Danio rerio: one gene and its partners. The protein of the gene in region 4 interacts with the protein of the main gene of each other region in a biochemical or structural test. Links are inferred from orthologs where the notes say so. Each region holds a gene or a part of one and is shown on either strand. Other genes may lie near its edges. The genes, in order: si:ch73-368j24.12, hmga1b, hdac6 and prkcaa.

Region 1 (7,153 bases), on a different chromosome or scaffold from region 4:
AGGTTGTCACCATCCTTGCATAATTCTTTATATGTATACAATACTTGAAGAAAAGTACATCGTAAACTTAATATACTTCTTTGCGTGATGAATATCTTATTGTTACTCCCCTATTACGCAAACATAATGGTTTGTTCTTTTGCAATTTAAAGAAAAGTACACCGTTATTTCACTGTACTTACGCGGTACTTTTCATGCTGAATATCTGGTTGTTACCCCCTTATTACCCAAGCATTACAGTTTGTTCCCTTATACCTACGTAAACGTTATTTATACTTAACACTATTGGTACAGAAAAGTACACCGTTATTTCACTGTACTTACGCGGTAATTTTCGTGATGAACATCTGGTTGTTACCCCCTTTTTACCCAAGCATTACGGTTTGTTCCCTTATACCTACACATACGTTCATTATACTTACTTAGTACGTACAGAAAAGTACACTTTAATTTCACTGTACTTACGCGGTACTTTGCGGGTTGTAAAAGAAAGCGTTACCCAAGTAATCATGTGTAATTCTTTTGTCTAACATTTTAAGATATTTTTATTTCATGCTTTTTATCCTTTTGTCATATGTAACTTTACTGTTTTTGTATGTTAATTTTTTATTTTAGGTTGCCTTTTAAAATCTGGCAGGGGCAACAGATGAAAATTAGCCCTTGTGGCTAACTCGGACTTATTTAGTGTTTTACTGTTGATTAATGGGCATTGTCCCTGTTAAACAAAATAAAGTCGAGCTGCTTACAAATCTAGCTCCTATTGGCATTAATAAAGTCAACTTAGCCACTGCCTTTACATATTTTTAGTACACAGTACCATTGAGATTAAACGCAAAGAAAAATCATCTTTTCTAGACACATTGAGGTGGCTCTTAAAAGAGCCTTTGGGTTTTAATGCGTCAGCAGTAGCTTTAAGCGCGCTCTCCGCGGATGCGGCGGGCCAGCTGGATGTCTTTGGGCATGATGGTGACCCTCTTGGCGTGAATGGCGCACAGGTTTGTGTCCTCAAACAGACCCACCAGATAAGCCTCGCTAGCCTCCTGCAGGGCCATGACAGCGGAGCTCTGAAAACGCAGATCAGTCTTGAAATCTTGAGCGATTTCTCTCACCAGACGCTGGAAGGGCAGTTTGCGGATCAGTAGTTCGGTGGACTTCTGATAACGGCGGATTTCTCTCAGAGCCACGGTTCCGGGCCTGTAGCGGTGAGGCTTCTTGACGCCGCCGGTAGCGGGAGCGCTCTTACGAGCAGCTTTAGTGGCGAGCTGCTTCCTCGGAGCCTTTCCTCCGGTAGATTTACGGGCGGTCTGCTTGGTTCTTGCCATTATAGATGTGATGCTAGACGGAGCTCTAGTAGACTGATGTACGCAGGCTGCATACTCAGCTTTTTAATAGGAGGGCAGTTGTTGTTGAGGCGTTTGATTGGCTGTTGCATTTATGTCGCAGTGTGACGTGAACATTCTGACCAATGGCAGAGCATTACTTTTTTTTTTTTTCCCAGCAGACGACTGACAGACAGTTGCTTTTCCCGCTCAAAAAAACTTATTCAGGATAAGTTATTGTTGCATACAATGGCGAAACTTGCACATTTATTTGTTTTTTAGATAACTTCTTTATCATGTTTTAATGTAGCTTTTGAAAATAAGCTAACAGCGATGTGATTTTCAGATCGAAGCGAATGCTTCAAGTGGGAACTTATGCCTAAAGTAAACTTTAAGCAAAACGTCCTACATTAGTTCTGAATTTATGCATCCATCAGTATAGTATTTTAGGCATTCAATTGTGAGTACAGATAAATTGGATGAAAAAAAACTTAAAAGTTTTCCTCACTTGGGAACGAAAGGGATTGCTTTCAAAATGAACTGTTTGCGTTTCCTGCCCTGGTCTATTTTTCTGGTGGCATATTTAGTTACCGTTTCAAGATTAGTAGTTTAAAAGTGTTTGAAAATAATGCTCTTCACTGTTATGTGAGTGGCTCTTAAAAGAGCCGTTTAGTTTATGGAAGAATCGAGCAGAAATAGTAGATTACTTCTTCTTGGGAGCCGCTTTTTTGGGCTTTGCCGCCTTGGGTTTGGCCGTTTTGGGCTTGACTGCTTTCACCTTCTTGGGGCTCTTGGCTGCTTTCTTTGCAGCTGCTGGTTTCTTTGCCTTCTTGGGGCTCTTGGTGGCCTTCTTGGCAGCCGCCGGCTTCTTAGCTTTCTTGGGGCTCTTTGTTGCCTTCTTCACAGATGTGGCCGCCGGCTTCTTCGCCTTCTTGGGAGATTTCTTAGCGGCGGGCTTCTTGGCTTTCGTGGCGGTTTTCTTGGCTGCTTTCTTGGGCTCAGCTTGTTTCTTATTGAGCTTGAATGAGCCGGAGGCGCCTGTGCCTTTGGTCTGGGCTAGAGTGCCGTTGGTCACCAATGCCTTGACTGCGGTTTTGACGCGGGAGTTGTTCTTCTCCACATCATATCCACCGGCGGAGAGAGCCTTCTTCAGGGCTGCGAGAGACACGCCGTTTCTCTCCTTGGACGCAGTCACAGTCTTGACGATGAGGTCGCGGACATTTGGGCCCGTTTTCTTGGGCTTGGACGCCGCTTTCTTCTTGGGAGCTTTTGCCGGCGTGGCAGCGGGAGCTGGAGCAGTTTCAGCCATTTCTCAGAGGAGTAACCTTCACCTACAACTAGCAGTGAAAAATGAAGCTCTGCTGGGCGGCGCTGTGAACTTAACTGTCACATGAGAACCGTGTAGACTCAATCGCCGCTCCTCAGACAATCGCCTCGACACAAAACTTGTGCTTTCTCCGTTTAAACAAAGACTAAAAAAAGTGCAATAAAATATTTTACAGCAGACTAGAAAGACCTTTTTGATATAAAGAGGGTCAAGCCTTTGTCATGGAATTCAAACAGGAGACGCCCTGTATTTTGTTTTAGATTTATGGAGTCATTTATCCTCAGTTCTTTCACTGAAGTTGTTTTACTATGCACAATAGGACCTGTGAAAATATAAAACAAGATATGCAGCAAGAATTGTTAATGTTTATATATATATATATATATATATATATATATATATATATATATATATATATATATATATATATATATTTATCTATTTATTTTTTAAAATAAGACCTTTTTATATTGTATATTTTATATTTTGTTTCTTTGTTTGTTTCTTTGTTTGAACTTTATTAATCCAAAAGAAAAAAAAAAATCATGTCACACCAGAGTTCATCACTCAATAAAATAAATAAAATATAAAAAATTCTAAATAATATATAAGACAATAATAACAATAAAAAAACATCCATACTGAACAGCTTAATTTCAAGCAATAAGAAATATCCACAGTATAAATGAAATTAAAATTCTACATTATTTATCAATTGCCTTGAAGCAAATGCATGTTTTAAAGTATTTTTAAGTATTTTAAAGATGTTTCAGTACTTTAAAATACTGCACCAGTGAGTAGCATATTAACCTACATAATGCAAAATCTGTAAATAACAAAGCAATCATCAGAAGTTTATTATAGTTGTGGCAGTATAACCCTAACAAAAACAAGATGCCTTGCTATAATGTCTTCTGTCCAAAGATGCTATTATTCTTGTGTCGTGAAAAACATTTAGACCATGCTTCTCGAACTCAATTCCTGGAGGGCCACAGCTCTTCACAGTTTTGCTCCAACCCTAATCAACCACAGCTAATCCAAAAGTTGTTCAAAAGAGTCTCAAACACATTGATTATTTGAATCAGCTGTGTTTGATTAAGGTTGGAGCAAAAGTGTGCAGAGCTGTGGCCCTCTAAAAATTGAGTTTGAGACCCATGTAGACCAGGGGTAAGGAACCTATGGCTTGGAAGCTACATGAGGCTCTTTGATCAAAAATATGTGGTTCTCCTGCTGTCTCTTTTCAATTAGTAATTCAACATTTTTAATTATGAGTTTGCAAGTACAATTACAGTTTTCTTTATATTGTATTTTCTACAGCAAAATTAATAAGAACTCAGTTTACAATAAAAGGACGTTTCAACCAATGCGCATACGTTGTGCTGTGGTTTCACTTGAATAGCGACAACAATAAAGGGTAAGTTATATTTCTTACATTTTCGATGGTAACCTCACGCACGTAAATTCAAACATTCGGGTGGCGATGGCAAAAAGAAAAAAAAATTTAAACACTGGGGTACCTCAAGGCTCTGTTCTTGGGCCACTTCTCTTCTCCATCTACACGTCATCTCTAGGACCAGTCATCCAGAAACATGGATTCTCCTACCAATGCTATGCTGATGATACCCAGCTATACCTCTCTTTTCATCCTGATGATCCCTCGGTTCCAGCTCGCATCTCAGCCTCCCTGTTGGATATTTCACACTGAATGAAAGATCATCATCTTCAGCTTAACCTTGCAAAAACGGAAATGCTTGTAGTTTCTGCCAACTCGACTCTACACCATAACTTTTCAATCCAGATGGATGGGGCAACCATTACTGCATCCAAAATGGTGAAAAGCCTTGGAGTAACGATTGATGACCAACTAAACTTCTCTGACCACATTTGTAGAACTGCTCGATCGTGCAGATATGCACTCTATAACAGCAGAAAGATCCAACCCTTCTTAACTGAACATGCAGCTCAACTCCTTGTTCAAGCTCTTCTTCTCTCCAAACTGGATTACTGCAACTCTCTACTAGCTGGGCTTCCAGCTAACTCTATCAAGCCTCTTCAACTGCTCCAGAACGCAGCAGCATGAGTGGTCTTCAATGAACCTAAAAGAGCCCATGTCACTCCGCTACTCATTCGTTTGCACTGGCTGCCAGTTGCTGCTCGCATCAAATTCAAAGCTCTGATGTTTGCCTACAAAGCGACTTCTGGCCTTGCTCCTTCTTATCTGCTCTCACTTCTGCAGATCTATGTGCCCTCCAGAAACTTGCATTCTGTAAATGAACGTCGCCTCGTGGTTCCATCCCAAAGAGGGAAGAAATCACTTTCGCGAACTCTCACGCTCAATCTGCCCAGTTGGTGGAATGAACTCCCTAACTGCATCAGAACAGCAGAGTCACTCGCTATTTTCAAGAAACGACTAAAAACTCAACTATTTAGTCTCCACTTCACTTCCTAATCTGCAATTGCCTCTCTGGATATCACACTAACTGTACCCAAAAAAAAAATAAAATAAATTACTAATACTTTCCTTCTTAGACTTTACAGACCTGAAACTTGCCTATAGCACTTATTCATTGTTGCTCTTATAGTTGTGTAAATTGGTTCCTTGTCCTCATTTGTAAGTCGCTTTGGATAAAAGTGTCTGCTAAATGTAAATGTAAATTGGCCTTACTTCATACATTGTGGTGCGTCATATTTGTTTATTTCTGAATTATGCATGGGCATAAATAAAGGTTTTGTGTATATATAAATATAAAGGTTTTGTTATAGACACACAGCCCATATGACTCTTTAAAAATGCATTTAAAATCTCAAATGGCTCTTGAAAAAAGGTTCCTCACCCCTGGTTTAGACAAGGAAGCACTGTCAATCTAGAGCAGGGGTGCCGAAACTCTATCCTGGAGGGCTAGTGTCCTGTAAAGTTTAGCTCCAACTTGCCTCAACGCACCTGCCAAGACTTTTCCAGCAAGCCTACTGAGAGCTCATTAGCTAGCCCAGGACCAAGTTTGGGCACCCCTGATTCAGAGTGCTTATGTGGTAAAAGTTTAACTTTTGCTTTCAAGGTGGATTTTACTGTAGCTTTTCATAAATAAACTCACAGGAAAGGCTACATTAACAATAAGCATAATCACAATAATAAATTAAATACATTATCATTTCAGAAAATACAAACGCTTGGTTCAATTCTAAATTCTATCTAACGATGGTGCCCAGAAAATAAGTCTATAAAATCTTTAAAATCTTATTATTTTTAATTATTAATTCTAGTCTAAATAATGTTTGTTTGACATTGAATATAGCCTGAATGGAGTTTGCTGTGTCCCTTAACTATCCCGTAACATCTCCAGGTTTGTAAATATAGAACCTAATTGCAGTATTTTGGGGCAAACAAAGTTGTTTATCAGAAAAGGCTTTATTAGATTTTCTATCCAACTAACATTACATGCTTTTTGATCATTTTGGGTCTTTGTGATGTGATAAACAGCGTTTGTAATGACACTAGGAGCCACTAGAGTGCGATAACCGGATATATTCCAGCTCACCAGAGTGCAAGAGACTTGTGTTTGGAAGAAGGACAGCATGGTGAACTAATGCTACCAATTCACTCTGGTTCGGATATTTTGAGAACAATATTGCTGCTGCTCAAATGTGAGTATTGATTAAGCGTTTATTAATTTATTTTCAATATTTAGTACTGATTTGGCCTGTTTATTTCTTGTAGACAGGACCTGTTATTCTGAATGTTTCTGTCAGTGGTGATTGTGTGATTCATACTTTCAGTGACTACTCTGTGATCTGTGATGGACTTTCATGGAACATTATAGATGATCATCAGTAGTGGTTTTCAGAAGAAGAATCGGATAAATACGGTCAGTTTTACTTTGTCTTTCTATTGTATTTCCCAGGGAGATGATACTCCGATATTAGACTCTTACAGTCTAAATAATATAAATTCACCTCACCATTGATATCATTTAAAGTTTAATAGACTGTTTGTTCAGAGACTGCTTAATTGTATACTGATTGTCTTTATTTTTGTGGTATAAACTTGCATGTGGGGAAATTTAAAAGATAAGATAAAAAAAATCAGTCTGATCAAGTTTAATTTCAGTGTCATTGAAATTCTGTGAACTCCATCTTAGTAAGATCAGACAGGATGCTTCAACTGTGAGTTGGTTTTAACTACAGCGGTTCTAGCAGTAGTTCTGCCGATTGACCTAAAAATGTAATCAGTATGATGGTGAAAAACTACATTTCTAGTCAAACCATTCATGTTTTAAAATTATGGCAGATTTAAAAGCTAAAAATGTAGGAGAGCATTGCTTTTATGTGATTGTATTTCAATATGGAGCAATTGCATTCTAAGTTAAATAAAAAAATATTCACAAAATACTTGAAAATTTAATTATTAATAAATGCCAATATTTTGCTATGGTTCCAACTGAATTAGTAACAAAATAACTGTAGAAATAAAACGTGAAATGATGAAAACTTTATTTGTACCCAGCTTAAA
Region 2 (8,577 bases), about 37 Mb from region 4:
TAATTATGACACAGGCAGTGGCAACAGTCTCCAAACACACAGACTTTGCTGGTTAAAACTGTAATCCCAGTTGGTTAAAGCTGTAATCCCAGTTAGTTAGCAGACTAGCCCCATACCTTTAGCCAACCTTATACTCACAACTAAACACTGTTTTATAGATCTCTGAATTTCAATATATAAATAAATACAGCAGTTTTCCCTTTTCAAAACGTTACTGACTCGCAGTGTTAAGGCAGAATGTTCTAGAGTGGCTTGCAATGTAAACAAGACAGAATCCATTCACAGCCATTCAACACGCAAGAAAACACGACTGTCGCGCATTTCAACTCATCGGTTCGATCAAGTTTCAAGACAGAAAACATTGAAATAAAGGACAAAGTGAAACGCTTACATACAGATCACGTAAAGCTCATTGTTTTGAATATTCCAGTCTGCTGTCACCAAGCGCAATGACGTAGTTTGCCAACGTCACATTACCGCGCCACCTAACTGAAACGAGAGGAGCTTGTTTTTTAATATTATTTCTCCGTATTATATTCGTATTATATCTGTCTAATTTAAATATAAAGTCTCATTTTTAATTATTGTCTTATTACCTGATTAATATTATTGGCAGTTTAGTAGTAGGCCTATTAATAGGCTTCTTATAAGTATGATCTTATTCTACATCCCTAATCAAAAACCCAGCTAGGTCTACTTTAAAATTAAGCAGCAAATTAATACTTTATTGAGCTAAAAGTCTTTAAAATATAATAAATTGTTAAAATAATGTATTCTTTATCATATCATTACAATATAGCATATTTGTTTATAGTTACATGTTATTAAATTGTTAAAATATAGCCTATTTCTGTCCTTTCTTGCATCTATCTATCTATCTATCTATCTATCTATCTATCTATCTATCTATCTATCTATCTATCTATCTATCTATCTGTCTGTCTGTCTGTCTGTCTGTCTGTCTGTCTGTCTGTCTGTCTGTCTGTCTGTCTGTCTGTCTGTCTGTCTGTCTGTCTGTCTGTCTGTCTGTCCGTCCGTCCGTCCGTCCGTCCGTCCGTCTGTCTGTCTGGCTGTCACATTAGTTTGAATATCAATTACCATTATTAATTACTGTCTTATTACTTGCTTATTATTAAAGTATTGGCTGTTTATTAGTAGGCTACTTGCAAAGTATGATGTTATTGTATATCCTTAATCGTAAACCCAACTACTACCTATATTAATAAGCAGTTAATTACTTTACTTTAATAACGTTAATAGTAGGAATTGTACCTTAAAATAGAGTGACCAACATTTTATACATTTATTTTTTAAATAGCCCATATAGCATGTGATCTATCCGGTCTTTTTCTTTTTGTTTAAGTACATGTATTATATTATATTATATTATATTATATTATATTATATTATATTATATTATATTATATTATATTATATTATATTATATTATATTATATTATATTAATTATAGCTGCACAGCGGTGCAGTGGGTAGCACGTTCACCTCTCAGTAAAAAGGTCACTGGTTTGAGCCTTGGCTGGGTTAGTTGGTCTTTCTGTGAGGAGTTTGCATGTTCTCCTTATGTTGGTGTAGGTTTCCTCTGGGTGCTCCGGTTTCCTCCAAAAACATGTGGTATAGCTGAATTGGGTAGGCTAAATTGTCCGTGGAGTATATGTTTGAATGAGTCTGTATGGATGTTTTCCAGTGATGGTTTGCAGTTGGAAGGGTATGCGCTGCGTAAAACATATGCTGGATAAGTTGGCGGTTCATTCCGCTGTGACGACCCCCAGATTATTAAAGGGACTTAGCCGAAAAGAAAATGAATAAATGAATATATTATATTACATTATATTATATCAAGTGTTGGGCAAAGAATATTCATGATTAATTGCATCCAAAATAAAAGTTTGTTTTGGCATAATATATTTGTGTGTGCTGTGTGTATATAAAAGTGCACACATGCATGCATATGTTTAAGGGAAAAAAGTAATTTTAAGATATATATATATATATATATATGGATGTAATACACTATATATCATTTTTGTTGAATATTTATTTTTTTATGTGTATCACATATACGTTCATACCAAATAAAAATAATACACATATATTATGTCGAAACACACTTTTAGTTTAATGTATTTAATAAAGATTACTCTTTGCTCAGCATTAATGTTATATTATTCATTCATTTTCCTGTCGGCTTAGTTCCTTTATTAATCCGGGGTCGCCACAGCGGAATGAACCACCAACTTATCCAGCAAGTTTTACCACATGGGATGCCCTTCCAGCTGCAACCATCTCTGGGAAACATCCACACACACATTCACACACACACTCATACACTACGGACAATTTAGCCTACCCAATTCACCTGTACCGCATGTTTTTGGACTGTGGGGGAAACCAGAGCACGCGGAGGAAACCCACCCGAACGCAGGGAGCACATGCAAACTTCACACAGAAATGCCAACTGAGCCGAGGCTCGAACCAGCGACCTTCTTGCTGTGAGGCGACAGCACTACCTAGTAATACCTACTGTGCCACTGCTTCGCCCTAATATTATATTATATTATATTATATTATATTATATTATATTATATTATATTATATTATATTATATTATATTTTATTATATCATATTATATTATATTATATTATATTTTATTATATTATATTATATTATATTATATTTTATTATATTATATTATATTATATTATATTATATTATATTATATTATTTTATTTTATTGTATTTAATTTTATATTATAACATTTATTTATTCATTTTCTTGTCGGCTTAGTCCCTTTATTTATCCGGGGTCGCCACAGCGGAATGAACCGACAGCACTACCTACTGCGCCACTGCCTCGCCCTATATTATCATATTATATTATATTATATTATATTATATTATATTATATTATATTATATTATATTATATTATATTATATCATTTTATATTATATTTGGAAGGGCATCCGCTGCTTAAAACATGTGCTGGATAAGTTGGCGGTTCATTCCGCTGTGGCGACCCCAGATTAATAAAAGGACTAAACCGAAAAGAAAATGAATGAATGAATATATTATATTAGTCTATTTCTATTAATTTTATCTATCTATCTATCTATCTATCTATCTATCTATCTATCTATCTATCTATCTATCTATCTATCTATCTATCTATCTATCTATCATTTGATTGTTGATTTGTTTTTGTTATTTTAAATGATAGATTGATTGTGAATCCATTTGTCTATTCTATTCTATTCTATTCTATTCTATTCTATTCTATTCTATTCTATTCTATTCTATTCAAGGGTTTAAATATCCCATGATCCCTAAAGTTGTTTTGTACTTGGCGCCGCTAATTTATCAGCGCCAGTATAGAGTATGCAGCAGCATATGGCCCCGTGAGATCCGCCTCTCTTCCCATCAACCTGCGGCTCATCCTGCTTTTCCATTGGCCTTTTATTCCTCAGACAGCCTGCTATTCCTGAACTCGCCGTAATCGCATCTATCGCGTGTATCCCTCGACAGGATCGGAGCTGACAGAGTTAATTTCGCTCCTTTTGGCACCCGCGGACGTCGATTTGCCTCGGAATTAAGACGGTGCTTTAAGGGTAGACGGTCGGTTGCGCTATAATTTAACATCGTGCGGGAGGTGGAGCCGCCGAACAGAGCAGCGCGCGCACCACGACATTATTATTCCTCTTAAGTGCATGTAAGTCAATGTTTCGTCCTGTGTTAAATGAATGCACGAGGGCTGTAATGCTCGTTTGCACGTCCGCCTTTAAAGCGGAGCTCACGCTGTATGGCTTCCATACAGATTTGTCGTTGCATAACCTATTGAGCGCCTCGCCTGCATGATCAACATCAGAGTGATTCAGATGGGTTACCGGCGTGAATTTGCCAATTGTACAACTTTGAAACTTGATTATGCATTATTTTGATGTCTTTCACTGTTTTAAAGTGAATTAAACTTCACTTATTAGCATTGCATTTGTGGTTTTAGGGATGTGTTTATAATCATGAGCTATTAAATGTATGCTTGAGTTGCAAGTCAGCACAAATATTAAATATTGCATATTATATTTAATTGATTCCACGTGTTTTGAACAGACTGCAATCATGAGTGATTCAGAAAAACAAACCGTCTCCCTTAAGGACAAGGATGGAGTAGAGAAAAGAGGACGAGGAAGACCAAGGAAGCATCCTAAGGTACATAAAACAATTGCATTATCTGTTAACAGATATATTGATCAATGAGCAAACATAATGCAATCAGTTTAATGCATAAAAATACGCACCCTCAGTTTAGTATAACATACAGAGGGAACATCCTAAAAGGATAGTTCACCCCAAAAAATTATATTTATTCACTATTTACTTCCTTTTAAAAGCTATATGAGTTTCTTTCTTTTGTTAAACACAAATGACAACATTTTAAAGAAAGCCGGAAACCAGTAACCATTGACTTCCATAGAAAAAAAAAACAATGGAAGTCAATGGTTACAGGTTTCAAGCTTCCCTTAAAACACATTTCTTTGTGTTCAACTGAAGAAAGAAACTCATATAAGGGAAAGGAGAGTAAATGAAGACAGCATTTTCCTTTTTGGGTGAACTGTCCCTTTAATAAACATGTTTTCTTTCAGGAATCCAGTGGGTCACCAAGTGCGAAAAAACCAAGAGGACGACCAAAAGGCAGCAAAAACAAAGGCCCATCCAAGAGAGTGAGCAGTCTTGCTTTTAATTAACTCGCATTATGATTAATGAGCCTCTTTGTGTGATCATGGCATAGCCGTGAGTGTGGATATAAATATAGACTTGCTGTTTTTTTTTCTCACTATTGCCTGGTAGTACAACACAGCTGTCTCAGGTTTGCAAACACACAGAGACATATGCATTATTAATTCTGTATAGTGTATGCAGGTTTTTTTTCGTTGACAGCTCATCCCCTGGCTAAATGCAGGTGACCCGCTGTTAGCCACTTAGCCCTGAGCAAAGCACTGTCAGCTCCCGCCTCAAGAGTCCTCCATGAACCCAATGCCCCCTCCATCTGCTGTTATGTGCAGAAAGAGGCTCCCTCTGCTGGTGCACTTGCCTTGCTTTGCTATTGGTCTGTGAAAATGCTGTGGGGAGGGGGACAAAAATCACCCATTATATCCAATGGTTTAGCCTGAGAGGGTCAATAGAGAGGAGGAACTATGACGTCACCTTGTAGGCTAATCGGCTGCTAGCATAAAACTGGTTCCCTAGAAAAAATCTCTATAGGATTTTCCCATAGGAAGATTGCAAATAATAAGCTCTGTGTTCAAACACAGTTCATTACACTCACACATTTTTTCCAGCCGGGTAATCCTCACACTAAAATACAACTTTTAGCACTTTTGGATCTTAAATGCAAACGCAAGAACTGAAAAGCTAACATTAGGCTAAAAATGTACTACAGTGCCCTCAGGGCGCTCACCTGTGACATCAGCACCACCCTGCTACAGACATTTCAAGCTTATTTTTAGAAATATGGTCCATGACAAAGATTTTTATTATATTATAATCCACACTATATATTATAAACAAATAAATTCACAAAAACACATGGACCTCCCTGCAGAAAAATCCAGCTTAAACCAGCCTAGGCTGGTTGGCTGGTTTTAGCTGGTCGACCAGGCTGGTTTTAGAGGGGTTTTGGCCATTTCCAGGCTGGTTTCCAGCCATTTCCAGCCTGGTCTTAGCTGGTCAGGTTGGAAACTGACCAGCTAAATCCAGCTAAAACCAGCTTGACTAGCCTGGTTTAAGCAGGACATAGCTGGTTTTGGCTGGGCTCCCAGCCTGGCTATGCTGGTCAAGCTGGTTTTAGCTGGTCATTTCCCAGCCTGACCAGCTAAGACCAGGCTGGAAATCAGCCTGGAAATGGCCAAAACCCCTCTTAAACCAGCCTGGTTGACCAGCTAAAACCAGCCAACCAGCCTAGGCTGGTTTAATCTGTTTTTTTTTCAGTAGGGAGCTACGTGCCTTTTTGATCGTTTTACGTGGGAAATACATTTTTTTTTTGCTTTACGGCTGTTGTAAAAGTTTTAAAACTATGTATAAATGTGCCTACATATCATAAGACATATTTAAATAAGTGTATTAAGCCTGCTTACTTTAACAGGTGACAGAAATGAGGCGTGAGGAACAAGTCTATCAAATGCCTGCAAGTTCCTTCATTGATAGAGAACAACTTTCAAGATTCTTTTTATGTCACGAAGTACAGCGAAAAGCAGCCCATACAGTCACATATGCTTTACCTTTTAAGGAGGAGTGTAAATATTGCAGTTATGGCAGAGTTAAATGTGTTTAGATAAAGAAAGAAATTAATGAAAAATCACCTGATTACTATAAAATGACAGTTAATATGTGTGTATTTTTACACATTTATTCAAACGTTTGTATTACTGAGAGCAGGAAAGAGACAGGCTGCACTCGTGAGCAGTATCTTCATAATATCGTTTAATTAAATAAATAATCAACAAATTAATCTGTCTCGACTGCCTTTAAAAGTGAAGGCATTATCTACACACAATATGAATTCCCATTTAGAAAAACACTACAAACTATTAAATACTATTCATGAAAATACTTAAATAACAGACAAATCCAAATGCCTAACACAAGCGAGCTGTGCTCCAGACCAGTTCAGCTCGATGACGTATAATGTCATTGACACAGCCTGTAGTCCCATATCGCAACTTGATAGCAACCGTCTTTTTAAAGAAGCGTAACCGATTTAAAAAAATCAAGAGTGTGATGTTACTGGTGTGTATTATGTAAAAGCCAATAGGGTACATGCCGAAGCATACTAATAGGACTTTTAATTTGCCAGTAACCTGGGTTAACCGCTTCCGGTGAACTGAATGCTATTGCAAAACCGGTGCAATTAAGGTCTGTTTTCTTTAAAAATCAGCGATCTCCACTGGCTGAGTGATATCCAATATAAAGTGGGTCTCAGATTGTACAAGAAGCACCGCATTAATTTCCCCACCATGCCTTTTGTGCATTTATTTTACCCTAGTATATTCAATTGAGCTTCTGCGGTAACCTGCCGATTCTGATAGGTGCGTGCAACAGTTTTATGTCTCGTTTTACGCTTGAGCAACTAAAGGAATGACAAAGTCTATTTAACTGAATGTATTTTAATCACATTACAACATTGATGCAGTAAAATGAACTGATTAAAATAAAAATAAAAATCACTTTAAAAGGTCACCGGAAGTTTATCAAAATGGGAAAAACACTAGCTCGGCATATACCCTATTGACTTTGGGACAAGAGAACCGGAACTGCCTAAATGCTAACTCGGTTCTAGGTTTTTGCATACAAATTGACATCAAGGTTCCTCCACTCTACTGCATGCAACTTAATGACATTTTTTTAATTAGTTTTTTTCTATTAGTTATTAACAGACAGACAGACAAATCCATCATGTAACAATAATCTCTGCAAAAATGTCAAATAAAGCATGAAAATGGTGACATATATGACCTACAAAAAGGCTGGACGTAATGACTACTTACAAATCTTCAGAAATCAAACAGCATTATTAGTCTTTTTGTTATGTTAGAATAAAAAAAAAATCCCTAATTTTATCAAATTTTGTAGAGTTCCCAGAGGTGGCATGTCTAAATCTTTCCAAATGTAAAGTTGAGGTGAGTCCAAGAAGTCGGTCAGAAAAGAGAAGCCTTCTTCCAGAAACAAATGATAATTTTCTTAGTTATGCTCTTGCTATACGGAGCAGGTAACCGTACATTTCGGTTGAGAGTCTCCAGGAATTCTGACCAACCCAAAATTGCTATCATTGGGTCAGGTAGTTACATTCAAATAAGGGTCAGAGAGGATCCAAGTGCAAGTGACAATGTTTATTAGTCTTAGTCAATAAACCAACAAGAATTGTGCCAAGCTAGAGGGACGCAGAACACAGGGCAGGAACAGAACAGGAAAACCGGGTCCAGATATTCTCCTCAGGGGCCTGAGCACAGACAGCGCGCGCAGGCACGCACACACATGAGATATATAGGCACTATGATGAGCCTCAGCTGGCGAACTAATCAAACCAGCTGAGTGTCGTCATAGAACGTGAGCATAACAAATCCACATGGACAACCAAAACAAAACAAAACCACGTGATCAAACATACACTCCGGAGAAGCGCACAAACCTGCAACCGTGACACAGGTAGTTAAACACACTCATAAACCTTAGCAAAGAGCTGAAATGTCTAAGCAAAAACTTTGAATTTGAATACAGGACCAAAAAGATGTTTTACACTTGTCGCATGTGGGAGAAACCGAGGGTTAGAATTTACTAAGCTTTGTTTTAGAATAGTAAAGTCTGTGTAACACTTTCTACTAAATACGGTTGTGTCTAGAATTTATAGAACGTGAATAAATTACAGCAAAATGGTGGCTCAGTGGCTAGCACGGTCACCTCACAGCAAGAAGGTCACTGATTCGAGTCCCGACTGGAACAGTTTGCATTTCTGTGTAGTGTTTGCATGTTCTCCTCGTGTTGGCGTGGGTTTTTTCTGGTTGCCCC
Region 3 (7,927 bases), on a different chromosome or scaffold from region 4:
CTTTAACAAGCAGTTGGACAGGTGTACCTAACATAGTGGCCGGTGAGTGTATGTGTACAGTATATATCTATCTCCAAGACTTTAAAAATGAATATTTAACTGAAGTAAAAAAAAAAATTATTTCATGAACTAATATATATATAAAATTATTTGTTTACTTCAGTTATGAGCATGCAGTATATATATTTTTTATCTGCGTGTAATCACATGCTCAGAGGTAGAGTTCTTTCAGAATGGTTGATAAATATTTTGGGATTGTTTTTCTAGGATGTTCAAGGAAAGAGCAAAGCGACAGGAACAGGTCTTGTATATGTAGACGCCTTCACTCGCTTTCACTGCCTCTGGGATGCCAGGTAAGGCCTTAGGATAATTATACCCATGACAATAATGTGCATAAAACTGAAAAACCTCTTGATAAAATGAACACATCTTATCTTATAAGATGCATTCAGAAATGTCCTTTGGTCCTATGCACTAATGCTGTATTTACCTTAAATGAGCATAAGTTTTAAGAACAATAACTATTTTTGTGATTGCATCAATGAAAGCTGCCTACATTCATAGAAGTTCTCTTAGTTATGGTTTATAGAAGTTATTATAATGGCTGATTTTGTCGTTTTGTTTTAACAGTCATCCAGAGTGTCCAGCGAGAGTGAGCACGGTAATGGAGATGCTGGAGACTGAGGGTCTGCTGGGACGCTGTGTACAAGTGGAGGTAGAAATACACATCTATTGATGTTATTTTGAACGTATATTACCTGTATTCCTCTTGCATTGAATAGTTTGTTAATGCATTTTAGGCTAGAGCTGTGACAGAAGATGAGCTGCTACTCGTGCACACGTAAGTTTGTGTCATGGTTTAAGATTATAAGACTGACACTGATTATTGTGTAGGAATTGTTTTAGGATTATCTCATGTCGCATGGGTGTGTATGTGTGCGTGTGCGTGTGTGTGTGTGTTTGGTATGACAGGAAAGAGTATGTAGAACTGATGAAATCCACACAGAACATGACAGAGGAAGAACTGAAGACTCTTGCTGAGAAATATGACTCGGTTTACCTGCATCCTGTAAGTCCTCTTCAGTCTTCAATTTTAGTTGAAGTCAGAATTATTAGCCCTCCTGTTGAATTTGAATTCTTTCTAAACATAATAGTTTTAATAACTCATTTCTAATAACTGATTTCATTTGTCTTTGTCATGATGACAGCGCATAAAATTTGACTAGATATTTTTCAAGATACTAGTATTCAGCTTAAAGTGACATTTGAAGGCTTAACTAAGTTAATTACGCAAGTTAGGGTAATCACGCAAATCATTGTATAACGATGGTTTGTTTTGTAGACAATCAAAAAAATATATAGCTTAAAGGGGCTATTAATATTGACCTTAAAATGGCTTTAAAGATTTTTTAAAACTGCTTTAATTCAAGCCGAAATAAAACCAATAAGACTTTCTGCCGGAAGAAAAAAAATGATCGGAAATACTGCGATAAATTCCCTGCTCTGTTAAACATCATTTGGGAAATGTTTAAAAAAAGAAATTCACAGGAGCTCTGATAATTTTGACTTGAACATATAGTCAGTAACTCTGTTCTAAATCAGAACCAGACATTCCTAGTTAAGTCACCATAAAGTTAATATAGAGCTTGAGAAATGCTCCTAAACATGAATCAGTAACTGCTATATTGGCCCCTTGTTTTGACAACAGTGACATTTTAACATGTTTACATAATAGGATAAAAATAATCCATCCTGCCAAAGGGTAGTACATATATGGTTTCAAGCAAAGTGCAAATTACAGGGGGGTTTGGGTGGTGGGGGGGGGCTGACCCCCGTAATTAACTCCCAAAGGACATCAGCTCTTTAATAGTGAGAAATAGTTTTCTCTGATTTATATCTTAAATAATAATGTAAATAATATAAATAATATATTTAAATATACATTTTACCACCCCTATAACGGTTCATACCATTGTGAATGCATAATCAGTCTATGCGAGAAATCCATCTGTGCGAGAAAAATATTAATTTGATGGCCTGAAACTGGCATGTACACCACAGATGGACATTGTAAGTGTTAAAAAGACATTTTTTCTAGTAAAATAGCTGTTTTGTATAGATTTAGCTTAAAAGTAAAGTCAAATTAGACACATAGGGCTCTATTTTGATGATCCAGGCGCAAAGTCGAAAGCGCAGGGCGCAAAAGCATTAAGGGCGTGTCTGAATCCACTTTTACTATTTTAAAAATCTGCTCTGTGCCGTGGCGCATGGTCTAACAGGGTTGAGCTTATTCTCTTAATGAGTTATAGGTGTGTTTTGAGAATAAACCAATCAGAGTCTTATCTCCCAGTCCTTTTAAGAGTCAGTTGCGTCGCGCCATAATCGCATATGCTATTTACATGTTGAACTTAGTAAGTGGAATAACTGAACGCTTTACTAAAGAGAAAACAGTTAAACAGAGCATCTGCAGCAAGAGAATGAGAGATGAGCCTACTCATTGTTTACTTTCACTTTCACTCTCTTTTGTGGATAAGGAAACGTGTTGTGTGCACAGACATCCATTAGCCTACATAATTAATTTTGTTTTTTAAGTGCAAAGATTTGTTTCAAAACTATTTCTAAATTCAGTTCTCATTTCCAGCAAACGAATAAATGAACAATAATAACGAAGTGTGGTCAAACAACTGAGTTATGTCCAAACACACATGCTGTGCCCCATATAGTCTAAAACCTGACAGGTTTATCTAAGCTTGTTTTTAATAGAGCAAAATAAATATGCAGATAATAAATAATACTGCTAATAATGATAACATTATTCAGAAGCAAACAGTCATGAGTAAACTGAAAAAGCCTCCTGAGATGAAGAAGGCATGAAGGAGTGGATTTTATATTTATGTAGGCTAGAAAATACTAATTTTTGTAATATTTTATTCCTGTAATTATTTTTCATTTGTAAAGACATTTGTGAATTGCTGTACATCCTGTGTGTATAAAGAAATGTTTAAGCGAGGCGTTCAGCTGACAACAATAGCCTTGCGCTGCATTGCGCCGTGTGTATGATAGGGCTCATAGTTTTCATAGTTTAACCCAAAGTAACCTGTGAAATAGCTAATCAGACATTACTGTAAATCAGAATGCACTAAATATCCCTTAAAACACTTAAAAAATGAAAGATGTTTTATTAATAATTTAGATGTAATTTAAACAAATACAATAATTTAATTAATTAAGCATGTGTTACGCAAATGAACATTAGCAAATATGTTGACACCCCCCCATTCGTCAAGGTGTAATTTGCATCCTGCTTTTAAGTAACATGATGACCATTTTAAATGAAACAAATTCAATTCCACACCAGGGGTTTTTCAGCTCCGCCTGTCTGTCAGTGGGATCAGTTCTCCAGCTGGTGGATAAGGTGATGACATCACAGCTGCGTAATGGCTTCTCCATCAACAGGTGTCACTGCATCTCTTCTTCTCAACAAATCAGATATATCTTTTTTATTATTATTTTTTTATTTTTATTTTTATTTACATGGAGTTGATATTGTCTTTTGTAAACACACAGGCCTCCAGGTCACCATGCTCAGGCAGATAAGATGAACGGCTTCTGTATGTTTAATAATCTGGCCATAGCAGCACGATATGCTCAGAAACGACACAGGGTTCAACGGTGAGTCTGCTTTCTTTCTTTACCATGATATGCTTAGATACACATGAAAGATATTATGAATAGCTACATTTTGCTGGTCTTACTGTGAGCGAGCATATAATATATCTTTGTCGATAGTAAGAGTCAAAATCGTTTTTCATATGTAGTGACTTGTAAAGTGATTTTTTATTTCATTAATATTTATTTAGCAGAGGGGTTCTAAACCTTTTTCACTGCAAGGCCCACCTTTTTCTCCAAATAATATAGAGAAAATACTTATTTTAAAGCATTAGCAAAACATTTATTTTGCCTTCTATTATTCTCTTATTTTTCTACATCATTAAAAAAAATGAAACATTGTGCATGTGTGTGTGTGTATATATATATATATATATATATATATATATATATATATATATGTATATTTATATATATATATATATATATATATATATATATATATATATATATATATATATATATATATATATATATGTATGTATGTATGTATGTATGTGTATATATATATATATATATATATATATATGTATATATATATATATGTGTGTATATATATATATATATATATATATATATATATATATATATATATATATATATATATATATATATATATATATATATATATATGATATTTGTTTTGTCTATCAAATTTTTCAGTTTGAGTAAAAAAAGTAATTTAGTTTTTGGTAATTTAGTATTTTTATTTAGTTTTGTTGTTGTTATTATGTAGGAAAGTGTCTGGCGCATATAGAGAGGAATATCATAATACTTTGATATGCATAATACCTTGATATAAGGTTGCATAGCTGGTGGAAAATATTAGGCAACCCAGAGGAAACAAATGAACCAAATTCCAGTTTAGGTTTAACAATAATTCAATCAAATATTCTGCAAATACGTAACAATACTCAAACCGAATGGGTTGCAAATACATCAGTGTTGGGGAAAGTGACTTTTGAAAGTAATGTAATACAATATTAGGTTTCTCCCCCAAAAAAGTACTCACTTTTTATTGTAAGTTATGCTTTACATTACTTTTAAATTACTTTTGCGTTGCTTTTCTTTATCTTTGCTTAGGCTTGATCTCTTTCAGAACTTGCAGGTTTTTTTCTTCTATTTTAATATAGAGGAGCTCTGCAAATAAGGACGCACCTTTAAAAATAAGCATAAAAATAATGAAGTAAAATGTTATCTTCTTAGAACTTTTTGACCACAGAGCTCCACATGTCATATCTACAGATTAATGAAAGTTTAAAGCTATGTGTCTGCTACTTTTGTACTTTTTTTCTTATGAGTGAAATCACTGTCCATTAAGACAATCAATCCCCTTTTCCTTTTTTTTCCCGTCAGTTCAATGTAATGAATGCATTCTCTCTGCGTGATTCAATGTGACTGTTAACTTTAATTTTGCAATTAATTTTTAAAGAGTTGATTAATTAAAGTAAAAAATAACTCGCATTACTTTAAAAAAAAAAAAGTAACAAATATCGTTACACAATTTGTTACAAAAAGTGGTGGCATGGTGGCTCAGTGGTTAGCACGGTGGGTTAACAGCAAAAGTTTGCTGGTTTAAGTCCCGGATGGGCCAGTTGCCATTTCTGTGTGGAGTTTGCATGCTAGTTATCAGTTAATGCTCCAGTTTCCCCCACAGTCCAAACACATGTGCTATAATTGAATTGGGTAAACAAAATTGGCCGTAGTGTATGAGTGTGTGTGTGTGTGTGTGTGTGTGTGTGTGTGTGTGTGAGAGAGTGTGTGTGTGAGAGAGAGTGTATGGGTGTTTCCCAGTACTGCGTTGCGCCTAAAAGGGCATCCGCTGTGTAAAACATATGCTGGAATAGTTGGTGGTTCATTTCGCTGTGGTGACCCCTGATAAATAAGAGACTAAGCCGAAGGAAAATTAACGAATAAATGAATGTTTTTTTTTTTTACTTTACTCGTTATCTAGAAAAGTAATATAATGTAACTCGCTTTACTTGTAATGCCTTACCCCCAACACTGGTCTTAAATACAGTTTGTGGTTTGAGAATTTGTTGTTTCCCACTGCAGAGTTTTAATTGTGGACTGGGATGTGCATCACGGACAGGGAATCCAGTATATTTTTGAAGAGGATCCCAGGTATATTTATCAGTCACCAACATTTAAGATTACAAATATTCTGTATTAATATTTGGTATTTTAAAATGGTCTCATCTGCCGTGTTCTTGTTTTGGCAGTGTGCTGTATTTCTCAGTGCACAGATATGAAGACGGCTCATTCTGGCCCCATCTAAAGGAGTCTGACAGCAGTTCGGTTGGCTCAGGAGCAGGACAAGGCTATAATATCAACCTGCCCTGGAACAAGGTATGCTCAGCAGGGGATGAATTTTAGGAATTTAAAAGGTCTATTGCAGGCACTGAAAGTCAGGGTGGGGGCCTGGGGGTTTGTTCAATGTAGGACTGCAAAATATATCGTTTCAGCATTGATATTGCAATGTCCACATCCGCAATAGTCACATCGCATGATATGCAGTGCTGAGTTATGAATATAGTTGACCAGGAGAAACCGCTCAGAACACATGAGTTTTATTTTTATTTATTTATTTATTAATTAATTAATTTATTTAACAGGGACAATGCACAAAGATTACATTAACCTCAAAGAGGAAAGATGCGTTGTGCCAGGTTGTAGCAGGATTGCTAATTTCCACCTGCAGTCCCTGGACAGGTTAAAATTAAAACAATAAAATCCAATTAATTAAAAAGTTAGTTTAAAAAATTAAAGCATAATCGCATATAAACTAAAACACTGACAACTCAAAAGCATCTCACTCAGTGTGTACAAATTTGATTTGACAAAAACCACCTCCTAGTCAGGCGTGAAAACATCTTATAACTTGTACATGTGATTATTTCTGTTGGGAGGGAAGTCCATAGATTTGAATATTTATAAATAAAGAAGGATTGACCAAAAGAGGTCTTTCGTTTAGGGACAAAACATTCCCCTCTTACCATAGAACGTGTCACTCGTGATGTTTTCTCTGATTTGGAATTTACAAATTTTTTAACGATGGAGCAGAAAAATTTTAAATAATTTTAAAAACAAAACAAGTATTGGTATATTTAATAATATTATCAAAACTTAAGAGACTATGTTTTTTTAAGATATTGCAGTGATGGTACAACCGAGACTTTTTATCATGAATTTTAAGTCCTCTTAACCATAATGGAGTGAAGGTTTATCAATTGCACATGTTTTTGAGGCTTGTCAGAGTTCAAAAAATTCAGGCACAAGAGATGCTACCATTTGTAACTTTGATAAAGAATAATTTTATTGAATTAATTATATTTTGTAATGCTATTTTACATTTGAATATTCATATCCTGTACTTAAACACTATTTGACTGGCCGGAAAACCATAAAACACTGTTTATTACACTTTGCTCTATTGTATTGTATTGTACATCTTTGCTCTATTGTATTTATCTATGCTTGTAGTTTGTGTATTACATTTTGTGCAAACCTGCCTTCAGATATATGCCAGTCAATCTAATAAACAAAATTCTTTCCAAATAGCAGTTTTTAAGTCATGTAGTGAAATTCTGTAAATATATCAGAATGTTTATTGCAGAAAAATGAAATTTCACAATGTCAGATTTTTCCAATATCATGCAGTCCTAGTTCAAAGCATGAAATATTAGTGGATTTTGTTAGTCAAAAAATGTTCGATACCATATTTAGGCATGGACCGTAGTTCGGAGCGAAATATTTCTGCCACGATCCCAGCGTAGTGATGAAATTATTTTAGTTTTAAGAGTCTGAATGTCACTTGAAGCTGTATCAAACTCAATTCATTGACCTCCCTGCGGCCATATCACGTTCATCCTAGGTTGCGTTAGATGTTGCAGGCCGCTGTTGCGACGGCTGTGCGTTAGCCACTTTATTGCCTTTAGTTTTCATCTTCGTTGCACAGGATTAGTTTAAAATGATCTCCATTAGGCACAATTATCTGCAGGCACTTGAGATTAAGTAAAAATGTGCATTAATTCTTGTTAATTCTTCATAAGTTTTGTAGTGAACAATTAATCTGTGCATGGCATTAAGAAAGAAAAAAGTAATCTAAAATTATAATTAAAAATGCTCTTCCTGTTTGTTTTCAGTTCAATTCTCAGATTAGGTCTGTCTGAGGTATTGGGCGGGGCTAACATACTTAACCACGCCCCTCCAACTGTCTGTTTTGTCTGTAAGGTTGTAATAACTCTGCCCAAAATCC
Region 4 (8,499 bases):
TTCTATAGTATTTTTTCCTACTATGGATGTCAATGGTGGCAGATTTTTAGCTTTCTTCAAAACATCTTTTTTGTATTCAACAGAAGAAAGAAACTTTTAACGTTTTGACCACTTGAGGTAGTAGATTTTCATTTTTAGTTAATCATTTAAAACTTCAGAGTTGTTGGTAGATCGGATATGGTTGTGGCCGGAAGTTAACGAGAATAATTTATATTATTTATAAAATAATAAATTATTTATAAAAATCGGATTTATTGTGTTTAATTAACATCTACCCAAACCTCAACCGTCACAGTAATGTAAAAACAGTAGTTGTACCCAGTTATATTTATGCTATATATTAAATAACCCAATAAATTTTATTTTTTAATGCCTACCCCCACCCCAAGTCTAAACCCAACCATCACAATAACGTGAAAATATACTGCTAATTTAATGTGCAAAATCGCACTTCCGATCTGCCGTATATCTGATCTAGACCTTAACAAACTTCAGTCCTTAAGTTTTGTCTATTCGTCGCTATCTCTGTTTGAAACATGCACTTGCCTTTATTTTCAGAATTATCATATTCACATAGGTTGTGCATTGGAAGGACTGAATGAATCCTTGAACGTTTTAAGAAATATGTGTGGGTTTAAGTCAACAATGTGAAAGAAAAATTTGCATTGTTTAAGTCCACAACAATGTGAATATTATACTATGAAATCAAAGCTCTTATTTCTTAAAAGTTCGGCCAAACTAGAATTTTCACAAAATCTCATCTAAAATTATGAGTGACATTTTGTTCTGACCAACTGCAAAATAGCCTAGTAGCTGGAAATCCTTCTGTATTTATGAAGAGACAATGACGCAAAGACAAACAATGGCAAGCTCATATTTCCTGCAAAAATCCTACCTGTCAAATTAGAAAACCGCTTACCATTGTGAATTGGGCTAAGGTAAGGAGAGAGTTTAAAACACTGGCTGTTATTCAAAAATTTGTTTAGTGTTTTTTTTATCCAAAACAACTTAGCTTCCACATGGAAAATGCATGTACTTTGCTAATAGCTCCTTTGAAACCTACTCATTATTTGTCCTTGCATTCTTAAGGTACAATAGAATTCAAAGAAACGAGGAGCAAAGAAACTATAGTAAACCTTTGCTTTAACAGTCCTACCACATCAGAATAAAACAATTGTGGAAATGTGTTGGGCTGATCAAAATTTTACTAGTCAAATGAACACCCAATAACACCCTGTCCTAACTACATGCATTGCGATGCCGCAACACACAATGAAGGGTATTTTTTTCCATGACAAAACAACTTTTTGTCCTAATACTACTATGACAAATATCCCCTCAGGTACAGATTGTGTGCTATATTCAGAGTTAAATGTTACCAATGTGAGTTTAAATAATAATATATGTGACAATTATTGCCAGTCTACTGAAAGCAGCGGTATATAGTCACTCAGGCTATCTTGCTGCATCACATAGCAGTACACGGTGTTAGGCTGGACATACTGAGGCCTTGTTTCCATTTGAGCTTTTGTTGGTCCAACTAATGAACAAAATAGCTACATATACAGATGCAAATGTCCCCGGAACATCTTACCAGTGTTGGGGGTAATGCATTACAGGTAACTGGAGTTACGTAATAATATTCCGTTTCTAAATAATTACTTTTCAAAAATTGCATTGATTTCCTTGTGTTCGACAACATCTTATTTTTAGCAGAAATGCACAGTGAAAAGTACAATATCACAATAAATATGCTACAGTGATCAATTATTGAATATTAAAACTGTGGGTCAGCTTGTGTTTGATGGCTTTTCCTTAAAGGCGGTCATTTCTTTCTTTCTAATTGGTTTGTACATCAGGATTTAGTTTTATCTTATAGTGTAAATTATTTTTTTTTACATTATTTCATTCATTCATTCATTTTCATTTTGGCTTATTCCCTTTATTAATCAGGGATCGTCCCAGTGGAATGCACCAACTTATCCAGCATATCTTTTATGCAGCGAATGCCTTTCCAGCCGCAAACCAAGACTGGGAAACACCCATACACTCTTGCATTCACGCACATACACTATGACCAATTTAGCTTATTCAATTCACCTATAGCGCATGTCTTTGGACTGTGGGGGAAACCGGAGCACCCAGAGCAAATCTACGTGAACACGGGGAGAGCATGCAAACTCCACACAGAAATGCCATCTGACACAGTTGGGGCTCCAACCAGTGAGCTTCTTGCTGTGAGGCTATAATGCTACCCACTGTGTCAACGTGACGCCCTTACATTATTACATCATGTTGTGTTTTACAATAAAGCTTTTGTATTTGTTTAACATTATGTATTTTTTGTGTATTACCATTTTCCTTATATTGTGGAAAAACAGCATGTGAATGTTTAATACTTATATTTTTTATTTTAAGTAGTCAATAATTTTGTATTTACTTTGGTATACCAGTATTAAATGTTTTAATCCATGCTCAAATTCAGTTTGCAAAGATGAAAATGTGGCTAACCATCTGTAAAGCTTTGTCCACCACAGGTTCCTTTTTTATATCATACATTTTAAATTAATACTGTTTGCACCTTTGGTAACTTGACTGATCAGTGGCTACTTGTGATTGTATTACTGAACATGACTCTTAGTACTTAGTTCCAATTGAAAAACATGGCTCAGTATGCACACATTAAAATCACTACAACTGGACTTAAAATAGTATGCTAGAGACAGATGTCAAGACCAATGTGTAAATTCTTTAAAAATTTAATTATGCATTGTGTAAAGCACACTTTCACAGAGTTACTCAAGGACAAATGAATATACAAAAACCTGCTGTAATTCACTGTAATAGCTGTGTAAATGCATGTATTATTGTTGTGTATTTAGTTTTACAGACAGCAAAATTAATTCTGATAACAGGATCAATTATGTGCTTGTAGTCATTGTGAAATCTGGGGGGAAAACTACACATTTCAATCAAAAAAGTAACGTTAAATTTAAATTAACTAGCTTTTTTAAAAATGTGTAGTTCATTGAAGCCGTTTCCAGAGATGGTTTTCTTCAAGAACCATCCCTTTATGTGAGAGACTTTTCACTGAGATACCAAAGCTATTGGGTTTCTTTCTTTAAGTCAAAGTTATTTAGCTCAAGGCCAGCCAAGCAATGTTTATGTGACACACTACAGCTCACTCCATCTCTGCTGAGTTCAATAATCAGATACAGCAACTCTCTTTCATTCTGAACATTTGCTTGTTCTGTTGCATTAAACTCAGCTAATGGTGTGTGGAAAGAAATTTGGTTGTAGATAATGTCTTAATTTGAAACGAGACATAAAGCAACTTCTTCATATGTATATATGGGTTCAAGAGTGACTATTCAGAGAATTAGCGGAACATGCCCATCCCTCAATAGTTGCTTACCTTGGCACTGAAATCCTTGCTTTCCAAACCCCCTGATGAAGAGAAGAGAGAAACAATGCATTAGAGGTCTGCCTCTCTAAATCCTTTAATGGGCTTTTAGCTATCAGTTGCCTTCCACTGAACAAGCAATCCCTTAATTAAAATGTACACTGACAGCTACAATATCTAATGTTTGATTTGTCACGACACACATGTAGGAAGCAATAAAAGGGGATTTTTTTTTCAATCACTTTTACAGGGAGTCATAAATTGAATCATTAAAGGGGACACGTCTGCATGTTAATAAATAAACTGCTGTAATATTGCAATTTATAAGCTGTTTCCACGAATTTGTCTATACATTTATTGACTCATATCTGAGCACTTATATTTGAACTTTTACAAGTTACTACATTCTTAAACTATCAACAAGTATGGCAGTGTCTTGACTGAGCAGCTGAATGCCCCACTGTGAGCCTGGACAAACTGATCACGCCCAAATCATGGCAACACCAGTAAACGCTGAAGAATGACGATTACTGGAACATTTTAAAACTTTAAACTTAAAAACTTTAACATTAGCTTTGTCCAACGAAAAAAAAAGACATTATGAAAGAAAATCAAAGCGTGTGACAGGTGTGAAGCAGAGTTCTTTATGACAGTGAAATAAACTAAACGTGTTTATGTATGTGTATTATCAAAACAGCTTAACTGTAAGCATTGCGTTTCTTAAATGCTTGAACTAGTAGTGTATGTTTTTATGTGTACGTCTGGTTAACAGGCCAGTAGCAAGATCTACAGTATCTTTAAACTTACACTGCTACTGCACTAACGTTAATCATGTGTGAAATGATCTACTCACCAAATGAAGTCAGTGCAATGACTGCAGAAAGTCGGCTGCTTGAAAAACCTCGCGGTGAATTTATGGTTTTTCACTTCATGGACGTTTTTCTGCCTCAAAGCACCTTTACGGGCAAATCGATTTGCAACGTCAGACGAGGATTGCTCGTTGCTTTGTGTATCAGCCATTGCAGAAACACGAGCGAATAATTCCCCGTAGAGTGTGAGGAAGTTGCTGTCAGATAATTATAACGTTGTTTTTTCTGCCGTAGTTGTCCGTGTAGCGCAACAGTTGGGCGCGCGCGTGCGGAAAAGGTTTCTCCTGCTTTCGCCACAACTACTGTGTGTGACAGCTTCCAGCGAGCGCTCCGCTTCCTTCTCGCTCGAGGTGACGTCACCGAAGTGTCCTTCTGCTGGGAGTGGATAATAACGCTCGCCACTGGATCATGAGCACCGTGCAATGAGCGTCATCCGGCGGTCAACAAACCTGTTTGCAAGTTACTGTGAAGAATCCACGAGATTATCACCAGTGACTTTTGAGACAGGTTTGGATGTTTTCTTTTTCTTTAATCTACAAGTTTTGCTGAGCGTTAAATTTTGGAAGCATGATTTGGTGTCCTTGGTGAAGTGTTTATTTTCTTACTCGCGAAAGACTGGCGTTAAAAAAAACAAGAACAAAAACACTTGAAAAATACTTGATGTTTTACTGAGACCGTACGAGTTCTGGTCAGCCAATCAGATTTAAGAACCAGAATAAATATATATGTATTTAATAATAAGCCAGAGGCAAAAATTCAGTAAGTGACATTCTAAGTCGAACTGTCTTATGTAGTAGTGCAATGCACACCTCCCACCAATGTCGATATACTGTATATCCACATCGCACTGCTACTTGTGTGAAATATATATATATATATATATATATATATATATATGGGTTATTCTCACGAAACCAGTAAAACAACGTGGCACTTAAGATTTTAAATATAAAACTTAGTAATTTGTTAACAAAAAAACATTATAATAAAGACAACGCTGTTCTCTACGAAGCACAATGTGTAATTTCAACATAATTTACTTATTTCTAATCATTTTACTGCATTTTCTACTAAAATTCTCATTACCGAAACGTGTCCATGCATTTTTGAACGTGTGTTATGTTGTAATTTAAACAAATTAGCATAATTTTTTTTGAATAAAAACAAATGAATTGTTTTAATAGGTTATCTGACATGATGAAACAAATAGTTTACAGAATATTCATGTATAATAACATTTAGAAAAAAATGATAAATTAGGTGTCCGTGACAGATGTTCTCATCCTCTGCAACCATTTTAAAGTGCTGTTTAAACACACATAAAGAGTTTAAATAAAGTTTAATTTTGTATATAGAAGCACATGGGCCAGTTGTTTTAAGATGACTGCCAGGAAAGAAAATCTTTTATATTTCTCCAGTTTAATGTAAAATTTTCTCCTGTCAAAATGGTTACAAGACTTTTTGATTATCATTACCGAAACAGGAAGTTTTCTACATTAACATAATTGTTAGATTTGCAAATCTTTATGAAAACAAACTTTTTTAAAGACTTAATTATATGCACTGAGAATTTTTTTTTTAAATCATCATAGCTTCCCTATTATTTGCAAAACATATTGAGGCACCTCATTCTCCGCAACTCTTTTCTCATATACCGCAACCATTTAGGGACAGTTGCGGTAGAGAGAACATGTGTTTCAGGAATGAGAATTTAAGTAAAATTGCATACTAAATTCAAATTACTCTTTTGAATTTAATGTTAATTTTAAAATGTACTAACTGTTTATATTTTGCTTTGATTTGTTTCATTTTAAACAGTCAGCAATGAAAAAAATTTAATCTTTAGCAAAAGCCAGGTTGGAAAAATTGTACAGCAACCCAGAACTACTTGAGGAGTATAGAAGGAAAGAAAGAGAGAGGTTAGATTTGGAGATGGCATAGCAGGTGTAATTACTAAAAGAAAAGCTCTACAGTGTTAGGAAATCTAATCATTTAAGTTAATAATTTAGCTTTGATCTGCACACACTCAGTGTACAAATGCGCATACACGCACACAAACATACACACACAGAGGGCCCTATTATACACCTAGCGAAATGTGGGGAAAGGCGTGACGCAATTGTTGTTTGCCAGTTTCAGCATGGTGCAGGAGTCGTTTTGAGGTTTTGCGCCACGCTGTTTAAATAGCAAATGCATTTGCGCTCATATGTGCGCCCATAGGCGTTCTGCTCTAAAAAGGAAGGCATTCTGAGGAGCATTGCTGGCGTGGTGCTATTTTGAGAAACTATAATAGATTTTTCAATAGACCAGAACAAAGTAAATTGTAAAATATTACAAAACATATTATTTTCTAGCCTACAAAAATATAAAAACCCTACTTTCATGCCTTCTTCATCTCTAGAAGCTTTTTCAGTTATTTCATAATAATTTGCTTTTGTATAATGTTATCATTAGCAGTATTAATTATTATATACATATTTATATTTGTTTCATTAAAAATAAGCTTAGATTTGGCCACCTGTCATGTTTTAGACCATATGGGGCACAGCATTTGTATTAGGATATAACTCAGGTTTTTGAGCACACTTCATTATTATTGTTCATTTATTTGTTTGCTGGAAATTAGAACTGAATTTAGAAATAGTTTTGAAACAAATCTCTGCACTTAAACAAAATTATTATTTACAGGCTAATTGACGTCTGTGCATAAAAGGTTTCAATATTAGATCATGCATTACGATGCAAAGCGGATTTTTCCATCCTTATATTAGCAAAAGTGGATTCTGACACACCCTAAATGCGTTTGCGACCTGCACTTTGCATTTTGCGCACAGATCATCAAAATAGAGCCCCAGGTGAGAAAGAGAAAATAACCAAATATGTCAAATATGAACATTTATAAAATATTTTGTTTGCAAAAATACTAAATCACCATGATTCTGAAAAAAGATGCTAAGTGGGAAAAACAAACACACTGCATCATACAAAATGTTAAGCCTTTTGTGTAGTCTCTTTATAGCCATATGTAGTTTTTACGTAATCAAAATAAAAAAAAACTTTACACTTCAAATCACTTTGTCAAACAACAAATATCAAAACCTTGTCAGAAAGAAGTATTTTAGCTTCTCTAGAAAGGAATTCTCAAGCAGCATTGTAGAGATAGTAATACTAGAACCTAGTGTTTGCACCATGTCATTGCATAACCAGAGGGTGCTAATCTTCTTTTTGAATTTGTTTTCAAATGGCAGTCTTTACTTTACCTGGAAATACCAAGTTTATCTGTCTGTGGACTGCAAGATGGGCGTAACATGAAGGTGCGTAACTTGTAGTAAGTTAGAGAGACGTAATTTGCAGTAATGGAGATCCCATTGAACCATGTGAGATGTCACAACGAGATTTTGTTGGCAAGATGGTGGAAATACTTACAAGAGATCATTTTCACCAAATGTTTTCATGAGTTTTCTCCAAATTTATCCACACCCAATTAATTTGATATATTATTATATTCATTCATTTAGCAACTCGGTTACGACTTTGAGCACAACAAGTATGAAGTATACGGTTGGGTTTAGGGTTGTGGTAGGTATAGGCGTTAATCACTGTGATGGTTAGGTTTAGGTGTGGAGTAGGTGTAGATGTTAATAACTGATAGGTACATTGCCATCATGCCGACAACATAGAATGACATGTGGGTCTCCATGACTTTAAATTCTGCCTCTTCTACAAGTTATGCCCCCTTCATGTTATGCCCCTTTCTTGCAGTCCGCAGACAGACCCTACTCGGAAATACAGCACTAATTTAAACTTAATTAAAAATAAAAATTCCAAAAATTCCATTGTTTTCAATTGGGCAAATTTATGTTAATTACTGCATAAATATACATGAATAAATAAAAATAATAATAAAAAAAAAATTACAGTGTTTCTTCTAGGATTTTTTCCAGCTGTGGCGGCAGGCCTTTTACACAAATCTATCAACAACCTGTGGCGTTATTTCAATGACAAATGTTGTAAGTGCAGTATTAGAAGTCAAGATCGCATTTATGTAATAGCCTACAGCATGGGGATCTCTTTGCTTGCATGCCGATTTCTTCTGCTCGTGCACATCCCCTTCTTCTTGCACACCCCCTCAAATATGAGCCACTTCAAGAGCATGCAGATCTTCTTGTGCGCTCAAATAAACGCTGCTGAAGTGCGATTTAGTGCGTTTATGTCTCTAGCATTTAT

The links.
Region 1: of the proteins of prkcaa (region 4) and si:ch73-368j24.12, one has a biochemical effect on the other in vitro, tested with the Homo sapiens proteins (2 studies listed by BioGRID). The link is inferred for Danio rerio from reciprocal best matches to the Homo sapiens genes PRKCA and H1-5.
Region 2: of the proteins of prkcaa (region 4) and hmga1b, one has a biochemical effect on the other in vitro, tested with the Homo sapiens proteins (2 studies listed by BioGRID). The link is inferred for Danio rerio from reciprocal best matches to the Homo sapiens genes PRKCA and HMGA1.
Region 3: the proteins of prkcaa (region 4) and hdac6 form a complex in vitro, tested with the Homo sapiens proteins (2 studies listed by BioGRID, with this or other methods). The link is inferred for Danio rerio from reciprocal best matches to the Homo sapiens genes PRKCA and HDAC6.

What each region holds. Positions count from the first base shown.
Region 1 is NC_133182.1:6,160,607-6,167,759, forward strand, and holds si:ch73-368j24.12 (histone H1-like), read right to left. Parts: upstream 2,671-7,153; 5' UTR 2,629-2,670; coding exon 2,023-2,628; 3' UTR 1,932-2,022; downstream 1-1,931. Other genes in the region: histone H3, read right to left, coding at 912-1,322. UniProt on the Homo sapiens protein: Histone H1 protein binds to linker DNA between nucleosomes forming the macromolecular structure known as the chromatin fiber. Histones H1 are necessary for the condensation of nucleosome chains into higher-order structured fibers.
Region 2 is NC_133181.1:56,826,179-56,834,755, forward strand, and holds the start of hmga1b (high mobility group AT-hook 1b), read left to right. Parts: upstream 1-3,572; 5' UTR 3,573-3,727; intron 3,728-4,125; 5' UTR 4,126-4,134; coding exon 4,135-4,224; intron 4,225-4,658; coding exon 4,659-4,736; intron 4,737-8,577. UniProt on the Homo sapiens protein: HMG-I/Y bind preferentially to the minor groove of A+T rich regions in double-stranded DNA. It is suggested that these proteins could function in nucleosome phasing and in the 3'-end processing of mRNA transcripts.
Region 3 is NC_133183.1:8,963,553-8,971,479, reverse strand, and holds part of hdac6 (protein deacetylase HDAC6), read left to right. Parts: intron 1-267; coding exon 268-353; intron 354-630; coding exon 631-715; intron 716-800; coding exon 801-841; intron 842-972; coding exon 973-1,069; intron 1,070-3,358; coding exon 3,359-3,456; intron 3,457-3,567; coding exon 3,568-3,672; intron 3,673-5,724; coding exon 5,725-5,793; intron 5,794-5,891; coding exon 5,892-6,018; intron 6,019-7,927.
Region 4 is NC_133181.1:19,671,985-19,680,483, reverse strand, and holds the start of prkcaa (protein kinase C, alpha, a), read right to left. Parts: upstream 4,583-8,499; 5' UTR 4,424-4,582; coding exon 4,257-4,423; intron 3,448-4,256; coding exon 3,416-3,447; intron 1-3,415. UniProt on the Homo sapiens protein: Calcium-activated, phospholipid- and diacylglycerol (DAG)-dependent serine/threonine-protein kinase that is involved in positive and negative regulation of cell proliferation, apoptosis, differentiation, migration and adhesion, tumorigenesis, cardiac hypertrophy, angiogenesis, platelet function and inflammation, by directly phosphorylating targets such as RAF1, BCL2, CSPG4, TNNT2/CTNT, or activating signaling cascade involving MAPK1/3 (ERK1/2) and RAP1GAP.